2 linked regions of the Coturnix japonica genome follow. The protein of the gene in region 1 purifies or fractionates together with the protein of each later gene. This does not show direct contact. Links are inferred from orthologs where the notes say so. Each region holds a gene or a part of one and is shown on either strand. Other genes may lie near its edges.

Evidence for each region.
Region 2: the proteins of CHAF1A (region 1) and CBX3 purify together in Homo sapiens (affinity purification with mass spectrometry; 5 studies listed by BioGRID and IntAct, with this or other methods). This does not show direct contact. The link is inferred for Coturnix japonica from reciprocal best matches to the Homo sapiens genes CHAF1A and CBX3.

Annotation. Positions count from the first base shown.
Region 1 is NC_029543.1:1,628,478-1,636,192, reverse strand, and holds part of CHAF1A (chromatin assembly factor 1 subunit A), read right to left. Parts: coding exon 7,321-7,715; intron 5,181-7,320; coding exon 5,124-5,180; intron 3,663-5,123; coding exon 3,421-3,662; intron 2,861-3,420; coding exon 2,800-2,860; intron 2,335-2,799; coding exon 2,266-2,334; intron 1,864-2,265; coding exon 1,640-1,863; intron 1,334-1,639; coding exon 1,165-1,333; intron 976-1,164; coding exon 895-975; intron 807-894; coding exon 717-806; intron 492-716; coding exon 230-491; intron 1-229. UniProt on the Homo sapiens protein: Acts as a component of the histone chaperone complex chromatin assembly factor 1 (CAF-1), which assembles histone octamers onto DNA during replication and repair.
Region 2 is NC_029517.1:29,452,420-29,460,190, reverse strand, and holds the start of CBX3 (chromobox protein homolog 3), read right to left. Parts: upstream 5,503-7,771; 5' UTR 5,390-5,502; intron 4,126-5,389; 5' UTR 4,099-4,125; coding exon 4,075-4,098; intron 171-4,074; coding exon 28-170; intron 1-27. Other genes in the region: HNRNPA2B1 (heterogeneous nuclear ribonucleoproteins A2/B1), read left to right, coding at 5,711-5,740.

The DNA.
Region 1 (7,715 bases):
TTGGCGCTGTTTCCTGGATTACCTGAATCAAGAGCTTTTGGAGACAGCAATCAAGGCCATAGAGCGTGCAATGCCAGAAAACTGAATCCCAGGAGAGCACATAAAGATTGCTTGAATTTTAGATAGAAGCAGACCATTCTGATGCTTTAGCTCAATTAAAAAGAAATGTCTATGGTCTCAAAAGTGGAATACAATGGAACATAAAATAATTTAGCCCTTCATGTCTTACTCTGCTGATCTTTTGCTCTTTTTTTGCTACATTTCTGTATCTGCTGTTCTTCCTCAGCAACAGATGAATCCAGGATACACGCTGTGAACTGCTGGAGAACCTTTAGGTCTGCATTTGTGCCGCTGTCATTCTGTGAGCTTTCCCAGATGCAGCCAATTTTCACAGGCTGTAGAACATGGAGCCTCTTCCCTTTGGCCATGAGTTCATCCCACTCCTTTGCTTTCAGCTTTTGACGAACCTTCTGATTCTCTGGATCACACTCCTAAAAAGCCACGGGTGAAAAAACCTGTTACAACCATGCCAGATTAATGATGTACTTTTAAAAACCACCTTCTTGTTGTGTTCCCTGAGACACAAGTTTTTTCCTGCACTAAGTAAACGTGAGTTAGGTCGCTGCCAGGTCTATATGACTTCTTCGCGTATCAATATTTAGTACTTCATGGGCTGGAAGCAAAGATGGAAATCCAGTGACACCTGGTTCACTTACTTCTGTCACTCCTTCATCTTCAGATAGGTACCCATGGGGTACAAAAAACCCATCGTCATCATCTTCATCCTCTCCTTCCTCTTCATCATCCTACAAAGTAAACTCAGCTCTTTAGAAACATGGCACTGTCAGATAGAATTGTTTCTAAAATCCGTTCTTCAGTACACTGAATCCTTACCCCTTCACTATGGGAAAGGCTTTCACCAGGTTCCTCCTCTTCCCACTCTTCATCACTATCTACTTCATAATCCAGTAATTTCTAGAAGAAATGCCAATATGCCACTTGTTAGCCTGAAAGTATGATGCCAGAGTCCATCTAGTGCTTCATAACTCAATAGCAAGACTGAGCACACAAGTGGATCCCAAAGAAAAGTTAAATCTGATCACCATGTATTCACTTCAAGAGCATAAAGAAAGAATCCAACTACATTGCCTGTAAGGTACTTACACTGTCCTTTGACCAAGGATTCCTGGGACGAATCATTGTGGTTTTCTTGTTCCATGTACCCCAATATGCAGGACGGTGATTTTCACAGAACTGCAGAAGTTTCATTCTGCCAAATTTCCCCCTTTCAGGAACAGCATCTGTTTTGCAGTTATCCACCACTACCACATCACTGTTAAAACAAAAGACTATCTTCAGAACCTACAGGATGCTCCCCTGCTGCTCAGGATAATCTCTCTTATAACATTTCAGATCAGTCACAGTATCAACACAGAACTTGAATTGATGAGGACACTCACAATTCAGTTGCAAGAACAGGAATTTCATATAAGCTACTGACCCCTTAACAATACTATGGGCAACAGCACCCCTGCCTTAGTTTCAAGAAGTACAATAGGCATCTATCACACCTTCCTTGGAATCATTCCCCTTTTCATCACAAAAACAAGTAGAGAAAAGCCCCGATACATAGACTGACCTGTTCACTATGTCGGTACTGTTATTGACAAAAGTAGGTCCAGTTCTACGTGGCTTACGACATTTGAGATCTCTTAAGAAAGAAACTTCACTATTCTGTGCACGCAGGAGCTGATCCAGCTGTTCTAAGAAGTCTGGGTAAAGGGCAATACGACAGAGGGGAGCTAAGACCATGTTCTCCTTAATCTCAAAAGGAGCAAACTTCCCACAAGAGCCAGCAAGAATCTGAAATGGTAAGTGAGGATTGTTAGGACCTGAACACCTGAGAAACTACAGTACTAGCATATTCATAACATAAACCTATGGAAAAAAACCAACATGTTACTGGTATTTGAATGAGGATTTACAATAAGCCCTTCCTATCAGAGACTGCAACAGATCATCCTCTAATGGTCTGTACACCCAATACAGCAGAATACAAAGCTGAGATTTTACTCAAGCAACTCCAGGTTCCTGTCATCTTTAATCTGGTCACAGACTTGTTTTTTTTAAACCCTTCAGTGTTTTAAAATGAGGAAGTACTAACACCTGGTACACTTAAGGGGCTCTAAGGGAAAGGAAACAAGTGTATTTGTAAGAAGATGACTAATGAAAACCCAATAAAATGAAGGCATGGCAACAGCTCACCTTTGGGGCTTGAGGAGTCTTTGGTTTCTGGAAGAATCTTGTAATTTCTGCTTTCTGAGCATTAATACGCTAAGGTCAGAATGAAAATGCAAATTGTAATTAAAGGTATGACAAGGCCTCATAATTTAAAGTGAACTCAAGCATGACCCAACTTCAAATCTAATGAGGCATAAAACAAAGTTCTGTTGTTTATCAGCTCCTGTGATGCAATAAGAAAAAAAAAAAAGTAATTGTCTGCTCTAACACACCTACACAGATTCCAACATAATTGCTAAGACAACAAATGCAGGAAGAATTTAATAGATAGAACAGAGACAGCAGCATTTAAATAAGACAAGGAAACTGCAAGATCTATCTGGTGGAATGGCACTATCTGATCCTATTGGACTGACCCTGTTCCAAAGGGACAAGCCCATACCCCAGGAGGGTAAAGCAGCAGCTCCATAGTGAATAGCTCAGCAGCACTCAGCAGGGTGCCAGAAAACCCATTCAGAGCATTTCACCAGTACAGAAGAGCTTAGAGAAAGCATTTACCTTTTCCTCCTCTTTTAACCGTTTCTCCTCTTCTTTCTTTCTCTTCTCCTCAAGTTTTGCCCTTTAATATAAAAGTTCATTTCACTGGTCACAAATCAAAGTATCTGCTTGGACTGTGACAGGTGAGAAGACTTAATTAAGACCACATCGCACTATGCACTGAGATAATTTGTTAAACAAGTATGGCACTTGACTGAAATAAGCGTAAGACTCTTCTTCATTCCTCCTAAATCAGTGATTAAACTGTTTTGGGCACAAAGTATACGGGATGTTTCAAATTTCCCTCAATAACAAGAAAAGGTATTTAATGAGTTATCACATTACAAGTGACTTCCTCATCAGAGGACAGCAGTGCCAACAGATGCAAAGCAAGTAGCAAGACTGGTCAGGAAGGGAAAACTCAGTGGTTCATGACAGCTCTTCTCAGCCATTTCAGATCAGAAACCCAGCTCAACCAGCAAGCAAAAAGCAGTGCTGAGATTAAGATCTGTCAGTCCTTCAACCACTTTGAACATATTCAGTGACAAATAGGTACTACTGTCTCATCCTCTAAAATGGACAGAAAGTGGGTCTACAAAGGTATCACATCACACATGATTCCCCCTGGCCTTTAGCACTTACTCCAAGGCTTCCTGCCTCTCCTTGCGTTTCTCCTCCTTCACTCTCAACTTCTCAGCTTTTTCCTTTTCTTCTTTCTCTTTCTTTTCTCTTCTTTCTTTCTCTTTCAGTTCTTTCTCTTCCTCTTTTCTCTTCTTTGCCTCTTCCTTGGCTCTCTCCTTAGCAGCTTTTGCCTCTTCTTTCAGCCTTTCTTTTTCTTCTCTTTCTGCCTGTAACTTCTGCAGCTTGTCAGCTCGCTCCTGATCCTAGTTCAAGAAAAACCATTAAGTGTCTTTGTACACAGAAATAGCTGCCGCCACACACACACACTTGAGTAACATAATGACTTCTCCATAACTTCTTGACCCATCCAACACAGAACTGATGGGTTCCAGCTCCTATAGCTGCAGTTAGGAACCGCATGCTATGACACAAATGAGAACGTGGTATGCTTACCAATTAAAATAACCACAAATTCAAGGAAAATAATTTCCCTACCCTGTAGATATCGGTAACTCCAAAAGGAAACTAGGATATGTCTGAACTCAGAGATATAAACATCCTTCTGGTACATTTCCAATTTCTTTTTGTTTATTTCACATCTAAGTCTTGTTGGCAGGATGAAAAATTACTGAACAGCATCACAGTGTACAAATAATGCCAAAACTGTGCCAATGCTAAAAAGCAACACTGTCAGAACTGAGTCATAGCACTCAGTGAAGATCTACTGGGTTGCTTTGGGAAGAGGTATAAAGCAAACAGGGGCGGTGGGTTGATTTAGCTTTCAACACAAAGCTTCCACATTCTCATCTCTCTCAAATGTAACTATTGATATAAATAAACATCATAAGTAAATAACAGGAAAAGAAATCCAACAGTCTGGAACTTTACATGGGGCACTTTGAAAGGCATCTCAGGGAGCACAACCAGCCACTTACAGCTTACATAAAAAAACTGCAACCAACCAATTTATACATTAGTTACTACAAAACACAGCAAGGATTCACAAGCACAGCCCTTCCCAACTGCTGTTAAAATAACAGCCAGCTTTTCAGCATGCAGAGCCCACTCAAACAAGGCTGACTGCTTGAGATCTCCATGTGATCCAACAGACTGCTCTGTATTTAGCACTGCATGACTGAAAACAGAAGGGACAGCAAAATTACACTGCTATTTTGTTCGGATATTCTGACTAGCAGCATTTGAGTGGACACATACTGCAGCCTTAAGGATTTCCAGCAGTGACATCCAACAGTTTCTTCAGCAAGCCATGAAACCGTTGGCCCTTTTGCTAAAAAACAGATGTTACTTATTGTGTTTTAAAGGGAGAAGGGTGAGGAAGTGAGGCAGGAATCCTAAACAGAAGCCTCTGGAGGATTTCACTTGTGTCCACAATGTAGGTAACCACTCTCTAAGGAAGGGTTTGAAAACACTCCCAAAAGCACTTTGATGAGCAGTCAGCAACATTTCGAGTTTCTTAATATCCTACTGAAGTACACAGAAATGCAGTGCAGGCCACCCACACTTCATTAGGTATGCATTAAGAAGATTTTGGAACAAACCGAGTGCTTTAACCGCATGCATTAAGACTCTTCCATATTCATCAGTGAGGAAAGCCAGGGAAAGAGATGCTATAAGTAGATGGAGATGAAACACACGGGGCTTTGCTTACTATTCAATGCAAAAGCACAGCAGGTTAACTTTGTATGTCAGTGAAAATGCCTTACTCTTTGCAATCTCAGCTTCTCCTTCTCTGCAGAACTTTTGTGGAGTTTCTGAGATACCTGAAATCACAAAAAAAGGAAGTTTTATAGATCCCTGTCATTCCCTTTTCACAAGGCACTAAAACTCCTAGAAAGAACAGCAAGCTCCATTTAAATTACATTGACTTTTTCTTCATACCATATTCAGCAACACAAGCATTCTTTAAGCGCTAGATATGCTTAAACTCCCATTCTTAGATCCAATCACACTTATTTATACATAAGCCTGAATGCATCTAATTGTTTCAGTTTACATTAGGTCCTCCTATTACTAGACTTTGCATAAACAAACTCTTCTAGTTACTCAGTCCTTAAGTATCATTTGCAATGTAATACCATGAACAAAAAAGCAAACAGGAGGTACAGCTGCCACAAATCACAAGAGCACCACAGAGAGCATAACATTAACCCAAAGGAAGCGACTTTGCCATATCAACTTTTGATGCTACCAGCTCTTTTTGCCAGATTATTTAGCTACAGCTTCCTAATTATAAGGACTATTATCTATACTTCCATGCTGTTCCTGCTGGTGACCATAGACCTCTTCTTCCTCTACTATCAGTCAGTCAACCCTATGGGTCACACCTTCCTTTCAGTTAAAACCATTAAAGGAAGAAGGTACAAAGGTACTCTGTATCTAAAGAGTAGCACTTGTTGACACATTAGTTTCTGAGCAGCACTTCAGCACTCTCTGTCTTGGCTTCTTGTATCCACCTCTTCCTCCTGCCATTCTCAGGCAAGGGCAGAGCATTTATCCCTGTGATTAAAGCAGATCAAATGCTTTATTTTCTGTACTCATACACAGAAGTTTAGAGTGTAAAGCTGCATTGGGTGATCCTGTACTCACATGATCCAAAATAACACTAAACTAGGAGCTTTGCTTTACTGAAGTGTTTCTGCTTTAGAAAGCAGACATTCTAGCACAGACAACAGTGCAGACCAGCACAGACATCCCACCCCAGCAAACAGAATGAACAAGGTCAACCTCACCTTGTACCAGGCAAAACCAATCACTTGTTGACATGATTACATTACATTCAAAGTCAAGAGCTCTCTTCTGTTCTGCTGTACCAGGAGAATGGTACAGCCTAATTCAGTTTGTATGTGCATTTCAAAGTGATATCACAAGTTTTAACAGCCTGAAGTCAGAACCAGGTAGTTCTCTGTACACCTGGGAACATCTGCCTCGTTTTCCCTTCCAATAATGCAGTTAAATGCAAGCAAGGACAGCAGTCAGAGAGCTCAGTTGAACTTAGGGCTGTACAGGTATCACAACTGAGTGTCGTGTACCAGAGCATCCTCCCTTTACACCTCCACCAATCTGCTCCCCAGGAAGACTGAGCACTTTCCAACCACTCAAGTCACCATTTCAGCCATCTGTTGGCTTTAAAGCCTCCCTTTCAGCACGACACCAAAAGTCACAAAGTTCAGAGGTCTTTTGTTACAGAGCAGGCAGTGACCAGAAGCTACAATATATCCCAAGCCCCAGCACACACAGGGCTGTCAGATCAGAGGCATCCCATCCCCTCCAGCCCTCAGCAACATCTCATTGTCACAGGAGCACACAGTGACTTATCCCTTAAGCACCCCCATGCTGGACAGGGCACACAAAATGGCTGACAGCACAAGCCATACACACTTAATTCCTATTGAGACTTATTTAGCTCGTTCTCTTTCTTCAGAGGGAAAACTGCACTTGTGTTAATGCCCTGTAGTTTCACTTAAAGTGCTTTTAACAGCCTGGATTCAAGATCTCAGAGCTGCTGCTGGAAACAAGATGGCCCACAAAAAAACCCTCAGCAACAGAGAGAACAGAATGGAGGTTATGAACCACTATCTATTGTACAGAACTTGTTTTGAGCTCTGTCCCTATCCCAATTAGTAAGGTGTACATCCCAAGGCATACACTTCATGATCACTATAAGAACCTGTAACAGGAGCTTAGAGCTGCACTCATGCTATTCAAACATAGCAACTCAAAACCAAGACTTAAGCCATACAGTTTAAAGGATTCAAGAGGGTAATCATTCGCTCACATTATTAATAGATGGACAACACATTCCATCTGGTCTCACAATCTTTGCAACTGATTTATCCTTTTCATGACAAACAACCCGTCTACCATGTAATAAGTCTTAAACAACCAAGAAAAGAGACCAACCTTCCTAACAGGCGTTGAGACAGCTAAAGGACTAGTGTTTCTCTTGGTTTCTGCAACAGGCTGCGCCTCAGGGGAGCTCACAGAGAGAGAGCTCAACGAGGAATTAGTAAGTACAGAGTCTCCTTCATGGGACAATTCTACGGTCTCATTTTCTGATGTGACACTTCCATCCAGAGAAGTGACTTGGGGAGATTTGGCAGCCATAATATCTTCAAGAAGCACTACGGGCATCTTCCCCTCAAATATGATGTCCTTCAGTTCACCCTGATTAACCTTCGTGTTTTCCAAGTTGTTACACTCTGTCAACTCAGAACAAGACTGGATTCCATCTACCAGATCTTCACCTTTATTTGCAATAGCTTCGCACCGCACGTCAGTCTCCATTGATTCATCAG
Region 2 (7,771 bases), on another chromosome or scaffold:
CCAGAAAAAATAATGGTAATGCCTTACTCTGTAAATCCTTTCCACTTCAAGTAGTATTCCACCTTTCCATTCACAACACGTCTGTCCAGGACTTTCTCCACAACAAATTCTTCAGGCTCTGCCTCTTCAACTTTTTTACCTTTGCCATTTTGTTTCTTTCCCATTTTGTGCTACAAAAGAAATTCAGAATGCCATTATTCATTCTTTTGCTTTTACATCGTTACTTCACTGGCCAAATCCAACTTTGCTCAGTAAACAGCAAGGAATCATGTATTTATTCACACTAGAGCCAGAAGCTCAGACTCGTTTCACATTAGTGCATGAGGTCGGGTAACCTGAGCAAGACATGGTCATATTTTGGGTTGGTTTTGGTTGTTTTTTTTCAGCCACTTAATGATATACCCAACACAGAACACCAGTTTTTATTAAGGTGAAATATCTTTGTCCATACACTCAGTGCCTCCACTCCCCTTAGAAATTTAATTCTCAGAGTGCTACATGCTCAATATTTTTATCAAGCTTCTATATGTTAACTCCGTGCCTGTGAAAAGGCGGAGGGCAAGAAACAGCATGAGGCAGAAGTAAAGAAAAGTAATAAGGGAAAATGCATCAAACAGAAAAGGGGTGCTAATAATAATAATAAAAATAAAATAATAACAATAAAAAATAAGGTGGTTACTGCCTTTTCCAAAAAAAAAAAAAAAAAGGCTGATGGGAGCAAAGTTTACAATGCAGTGCTACCATAAACAGAATATTCAATGATAATCGATAATTATTGAACAGGATGCATGCCAGGAGCAGCAAACTACTGCAGTCCTTTCCCACTATCAGCCACGCACCCATGTAACTAACATTCAAAGGGATGGCAGAAAGGTGCAAACGTTAAGACAGCTACACTTAAGGTACAGCACTTAACATGTCATTAAACTCTTGCTAATTTACAAATCAAGTGTTTTAAGTTGACATTCGATATACTTTAAATAATATTCTTCAAAGTTCTTAAAAGAAATATTACATCCACATCATCCTCAAGGCATTCCCAGTTTAATAAGGCACAACTCAATATTGATAGAAGGACACCTTTCAGAATTTCCTTGTTTGCAATCTGGAAAAGGTCAGGACGTGTCTAGAATCTTGTCGTATCCCATTATCTGGAGCACCAACGGACCAAAAACGGTCTGATGGCCATTTTGGATTGCTCCTTATAGGAAAAATTGTTCAAATGGCAGCCATAAATTAATGGGGACAGTATAAAGCTCTGAGAGCGTACAGTCATGCAGCACCTTAAAGCAGACAAAGCTACTTCCTCACTAATGCGCTTCCTACACGACAGAAGCAGGCAAGCAGAAGTCATGGAGCACCTGCATTTACTTCATGGCACTTTTCTAGTCCTCTCTAGACTGAACGTGGGTTAGTTTGAGCGTATTGCGAAGCCATTTTGAAACTGATTTTGAGATTTTGCAGGATTATTTCTCAGTGTGGTAAAAGGAAGGGGAAAAAGTGTCTGTCAGATGCAAAGAAAACTCTTGTTTTTCACAAAGCGAAGAAGCTGAGCTGTCTTTCCAAGCCTATCTGTTGTGTTCTTCCTTTTGTTTCTGCATTAACTTCTCCCCCAGACACCCTTACTTTTGTTAGCAAGCCACGAATTGAAGGTGCAAGAAAGCAAAGATGAGGAAAAGGTTCAAGTTCCCCCTTCAAACAGTGAGTTTCCACATATGGTTACATCTCGTGCGACACTTGTTTGGAGTTGGGAATAGAAAAGAGATTATTTAAAACAGAGCACGTATTTCTATTTTGGTAATAACTACCTGCACGTCCCAGGTGTATTTTGAACCCAGTATTTATGTCTGAGAAGTACCAACCACACTGGCTTTTTTTTGCCTCCACAGGGGGAAAAAAAAAAGAATGCAGGACTGGAAGTAAATGAACACAAACATATGAAAACATCCAACTTGTCTATGAAGGCTGCTGACTGCAATAAATGAAAGCATTATAAAGAGAAATGAGATGAAGAAAACAGGGAGGGGTGGGTGGGGGGCGGGAAAGGAGAAAAGACTCACTATACCATGCTAACAACATTCTAATTACTGGTGTTGAGACAGGTGGGCTACAAGTGGAACATCTCCATCTGTGCTCTCCACTGGACTAAAATCCCTTTGGTTCAATGGAAGGCTGTTTTCTGATACCTGTTCTCAGCTTTGGTCATTCTCATCACCTCAATGTTTTGGATCTCTGTATCAAATTAATGTCTATTTAAAAGAAACACCAACTCTCTAGGATTGTAGGTATCTACAGAATCTTCCACAGAAGAAAATGAGTATTACAGGATCTGATCCTTTATCTCAAAGGCCAGTAAGCAACAACAAAGTCAAGGTTGCGTTGCTTTTTGCTCTAAGTATTAAAGGTTTCACTACATCTTCTGGTTAACGCTACTTTCCAAGCACTTCCTCAGCCTATTTAACCCACTCAAATAATATCTGACAGCAGAGCCTGAAGAAACACTGAAGAATGGTAAATCCTGAGATTATACAAAGCAATGTAAATCTCAGCCTGGAGGTGAACGTAGCAGCTGACCCAGAATGAAGGGCAGAAGCGTCCACTGAAGCTCCCTCCTTTAGGATTACCCATTCTAAACCTTAGCATGGGCATCTAAGCACTGGATGCTCATCTGAGGCTTGCTCCCCATTCAGAAGTCACATCCGACAGACAGAGATGGCTTTCAATGGGTAATGACTCCTTCTTTAAGGGGCAATACTAGAACAGAGACATGACGTTGTGATGGAGTGTTACACGATACGTGAGGTAACAAAAGCAGAATTACAGTTCCAGAGCTACACTACCCCCAATAGATCTAAGTTTTGCATTCAAATATGCAATGAAGCAGAATTAGTTACGGTTCCCATGGGAACCATAACTGATTTTTCCTGACCTGCAGCAAAATTCTGAACATAATAGCAAAAATACTGCAGTTGCAGACTCCTTCCCTTCCCTGAGGCCCTCCCTGGGCTGGTAACTGCTCCTCTTCCTCATAATAGGGAAAAGTGGACAATCAATTGCTAACAAAGTTCAGACATTCATCTCGATGTTATCTTTAGAACGGTTTGCCATCATATAATATCAAATAAGCACTGTGCTTCGAAGCCAGGAGTTAAGAAGAGTTTTTAACGTGCCTCAATGTGGGTCAATTAGCAACCATTGGAGTAATTTAAGAACGGGCCTTTTGAGTGCATGATAAGTCCGTTGTTCTGCTATCCAAATGTCCAATTGTATCCACGCATCCTGCTTCAACCTCAGATGCATCTCATGCTATATTCCTTCAGTTCTTCCACACACACACATATATGTGTATATATATATATATATATCGATATATATGTATTTATATATAAAGTAAGTAGTTGAATGGCAATTAAAATCATTTTTCCAGCAACCAACTGCCTTTAGAAGTTCATATTTTAACGTCAAGCAAAGCTTTACAGGGACTTGAGAACCATGAATGCGTCATTAAAATCGTTCAGGAGGGGTTGACATCTGATCATTTCTGTTCCTATGAAATTCAAATAAACTGTTATTTGGTAAAAAAAATGATAATAATAATAATAATAATTTCAAAGGGCATCTTAACTACACCACATCATTTCCCAGTAATGTTATTTTTCTTCTGTATGACCGCCTTTACTCAGTTTGTTCTTCTATTTCTCTGAATAGACTAGAAGAAATCAAACGAATACATGATTTTACTTATTTTTACATAAACGATGAATTACATGGTATCCTGAAAGGAGGCTAAAAAAAATCCTTAGTGCTTTCTACAACAGGACAGACGAAATAGTGCACAGTCCTTGATTTTTTTTGGTATTCCCCAACAAGTCTCTGTAGAAATGGCAGATTTGTTAAAGCCAAAGAGTATGTCCTTTCTAGTAGCCTTACTTTCTGGACCTGAAATTTTGGTCAGAAAAATGCTGGGGAGGGGAGATGTGGATGTATCTTTTTAAATGGAGATGCCAAGTTATTAAGTTTGAAGAAAAATATGTTGATTAAATCCTTACATACTTTAGGTGTGCGTGAACTTACCAATGTAGTTTTATTGGAGGCCATTTTTATTGCAGACTTGCAGAGCTTTTACTAGAAAAATGCATGACAATTAAAAGGAAGTTGACGTTACTCAAAGAAAGGCATCCCAATACAACATGGTCCTTGTTCCAACCCCCATGTATTCACGGCATAGAACATTTACAGGATGGATTAAATCCAGGACAAGAAGCAGCTTACTGCTTTGTCCGGCATAACCCAGTAACACACCTTTACCTAGTCGGGATATATAGTAACGAAGTGGTAGATGGGGGGGAAAAAAGGTTTTTCCAAGGCCTTCTAAGGCACGGAGACGTTTGTAGGGAAAAGGGGGAGGACCATCAGGGATGCTTATTTCCTTCAACCCAACAGAACAGGAGCTCAGATTCCAGCAGTTAACTCAAATATAGCTTTAGACGTGTTAACTGTGGATCCGGCGGGGAGCAGCTCCACGTCTGGAGTGTAACAGAGCACCCACCGCTTTCCAAACTGCGAATATTTCTTTTAATACACAACGCTGCCCTCCGATTCTCAAGTTTGAACGAATTAAAGGCCCTGCACCGACGTGAGCTCGGCTAAGCTGCACACGCTACGTTTAACCTAAGCAAGCGAGTCCAACACCATCCATCCCCTTCACCACCACACCTCTCACACCGACCACCTCTTTAAGCACGTTATCATCCCTGCCCCGTTCCAACTACAAAACTTCGGATCGCACACAGGCCCGAGCACGGCACAGCACACGGCCCTGCAGGGCCCGAGGGCTCAGCCCCCCGCTAGGGGGGGGGGTGGGGGGAGCGCGGCGGAAAGGGCCGAGCGGGAGAGCTCCTCGCGTCCCCATCGGAAAGAGAAAGGGGAAAGAAACCACAAGAACGATCCCGATACCCCCCACCCCCAACCCATAAGGAACGGAGCCCCGCGGGCCGCCGGGAGGGAAGGAGGAAAGGAGGGAGGGAAGGAGGAGGAAGGGGGGGCATCGCCTCGCCATGCCCGCCACCCCCCGCCCCGCCACGTTTCCCCGCCGCGGAGGCCGCTCCGGGCGCTGGCGGGCGGCTTTGTCTGCCCGGCCCGGCCCCGCCGCCCACCCGCCCTCCCTCCTCCCTTCCTCCTCCCTTCCTTCCTTCCTTCCCGCGGGGCCCTCCCGCCATGCCCACTCCTCCCGCGGCCGCCGCGCTATAGGGGTTGGTGGTGGTGGGGGGGGGGGGGGAAAATCGGCCGCACCCCGCGCTCCATCCCCGCGGATGTCGGCGGGGAGTAAACGTGGGAGCGGGGAGTGCCGCCGAGACGAGGAAAGAAGGGGAAAAAGAAGGATACAGACTTCAGTGCCGCTCGGCCGCGCCGCTCCCCCGTCTCCTCCCGGCTCTCGCCCTGCGCGCTCTGAGCGGCGGCGGCAGCGGCGGCATCCGAGGGGCTGAGGGGGGAGGGGAGGGGGCGGGGAGCGGCGCGGGGCGGGACGGGCGGTGCGGGGCGGGTTGGGCCGAGCTGAGCGCGCCGGCGGCTGACGGGGCAGAGCGAACGACGCCGCCTACGCGCCAGCCGCAACCTCCTCCCGTCGTCGCCGCCAGCACAGGAGGGGGCCAAGACGTCTGTCCCACGGGGGGCGAGCGCAGGACCGCGCCAGGCGTCCAAAAGGAGGAAGATGCCTCGCGGAGACAGAGAAAGCGACTGGGTGAGGGAGGCCGGCGGGACGCGGGAGGCAGCCGCCATCATGGCCGCCACCGCCAGGGAGGGAAGGAGGGAGAGGGCCCGGGGAAAGGCCTTTATTGGCGGTTAATGGAGAGCAGAGCGGGGCTGCAGGGGGACAGAAAGCGGGAGCCCCGGTGCCGTGTCGCTGCTGCAGGGCGGCAGCACCCAGCAGCACTCGGCAGCACTCACCCTTTCTCGCCGCGTGTGAGAGGAAAGGGGAGGGCGGGAGGGAGGCGAGCGCTGCGTGGCTGCCGGCGGAACGAGGCCGGGCCCAGCGCTGTCCGCCGGGCACAGCTCCAGGTCAGCGCTGCCTCCCGCCTGGGCCGAGGGTGGAGGGGGAGCAGCTGCGTTGTGTTGTACCGCGCTCCCGCCCGCCGAGGGTGGTGGGGTGCGGGGCCGCTGCGGCTAATTATAACCCCGCACTACGGGCTGCAGCGATCGGCAATTTCCGGAGAGAGGGAAAAAAAAAGAAGGAGCGCTGTGCCAGCGACGCTCGGGCCGCTTCGGGTCTGCTCGGGCCTTTTCGGATCTGTTCGGGCACCTATGAGAGAGCCCTTCCGCTGTCGGAAATTGCCGAGTGGGTTGGGGGAGTCGGTGAGCTCTGCGTCTTTTTTTTCCGGAAATTGCCGAACTTGAGCCGATCGCCTGTTTCGTCGGTGTCGGCTGATTCCGGAAATCGCCGAAGCGAGCCGAACGGGCTGGCGTTCCTCTTTCGGCTGTTTCCGGCGGCTGGCGAAGCGGATAAGCTCGGGCGAGGACGAGTCGTTCGGCTCATTTCGGAGACGGCCATTAGTAACGGCGTCGATGAGTTTTTATTAGGTGCCAAAAACAGAGGGGTATCGCACGGAGCCGCAGCCCCTCGGGACCGATTTAGGCTCTAAAATCCGAGCTATTTTTTTAATTAAAGCCCGGAGGTGCGGCCGGGTAGAGCAGGAGGAGGAGGAGGAGGAGGAGGGCGCTCGTAGTGCGCGGAGCTGAATTTCAAATTACGTAAGAGCTGCGGCAGCCATTGCTGAGGGCCGAGCGCTGCGCCGGGCAGGGGCTGCCACCATGAAGAACATGGTACGTGCGGGGAGCGCTGCGGAGCTCGGTTTATAAGGGTGTAGTGCTCTCTGTGTTCTCGTAGGTTGTGTTTTTGTGGAGCTGAGGGTTACCAGAGCTGCTGCGGCTGTTGGGCCGCTGTGCGCGGGGGAGGGAGGGAGGGAGGGCAGCGGCGGGGGAGGAAGGTTCTGGAAGCGGTGCTCGGTGCTGGGTTGTTGAGGGGCGGCGGGTGCTGCTGTTCAAGCAGGGGCGGGTTGTGTCTCTCTAGGTGGCTCTGAGTTGGGTTGTTCTCTAGGCACAACGATGGAGAGCGGTGGGAGCGCGGCCCGGGGCGCGCCGTTGCCGGTAATGGCGGCAGGAGGGGGAGGGGGAAAATGGCGGCGCCGAGAGCGGCGGGGGAGGGAGGAGCGGGAGCGGGGGAGGGAGGGAGGCTGCAAACCGATCCGTGCGTGTGGCGGAGCGGCAGCTGGATCCTGCGCTGCGCTCAGGGCTCGCCCGGCGCTGCTGGGCGCTCGGCGGGGATCGCTTTCCCGCCCTGCAGGCGGCGGCTCCGGGCGCCATTTTGCTCCCTGGCTGCGGGGCTGCTCTGCTGAGAGCCGCCACATGGCGGAGCCTCCCCGCTCTGTCCATGGGCGGCGGGGCGGGCTGAAGGAGGAGCAGCGCCGTGCTGGGCTTCCCGCCTGGCTCCTGGTTGAAGATCCTGGGGAGCTGCTAAGATGGGCTGCGTTGCTTTTTCTTCTGGTTTCTGTATTGAGAGCCAGGATTGCGTTTTCGTCAAATATCAATAAGGACTGTAGTTAAAGTAGTTTATGATGGTGCACGTTGTAACTGCAGTGTAATGCAGTTAACACAGGTAGCTGGGCCCTGGCCGGGGTTGTGGTTAGAGACGTGCAACTAACGCGTGTAAGGCAGTGCCTGCTTTTGGAGCCCGTGGGGCAGCATTTAGGATATTGTATGGTGTTCTTCATTCGTG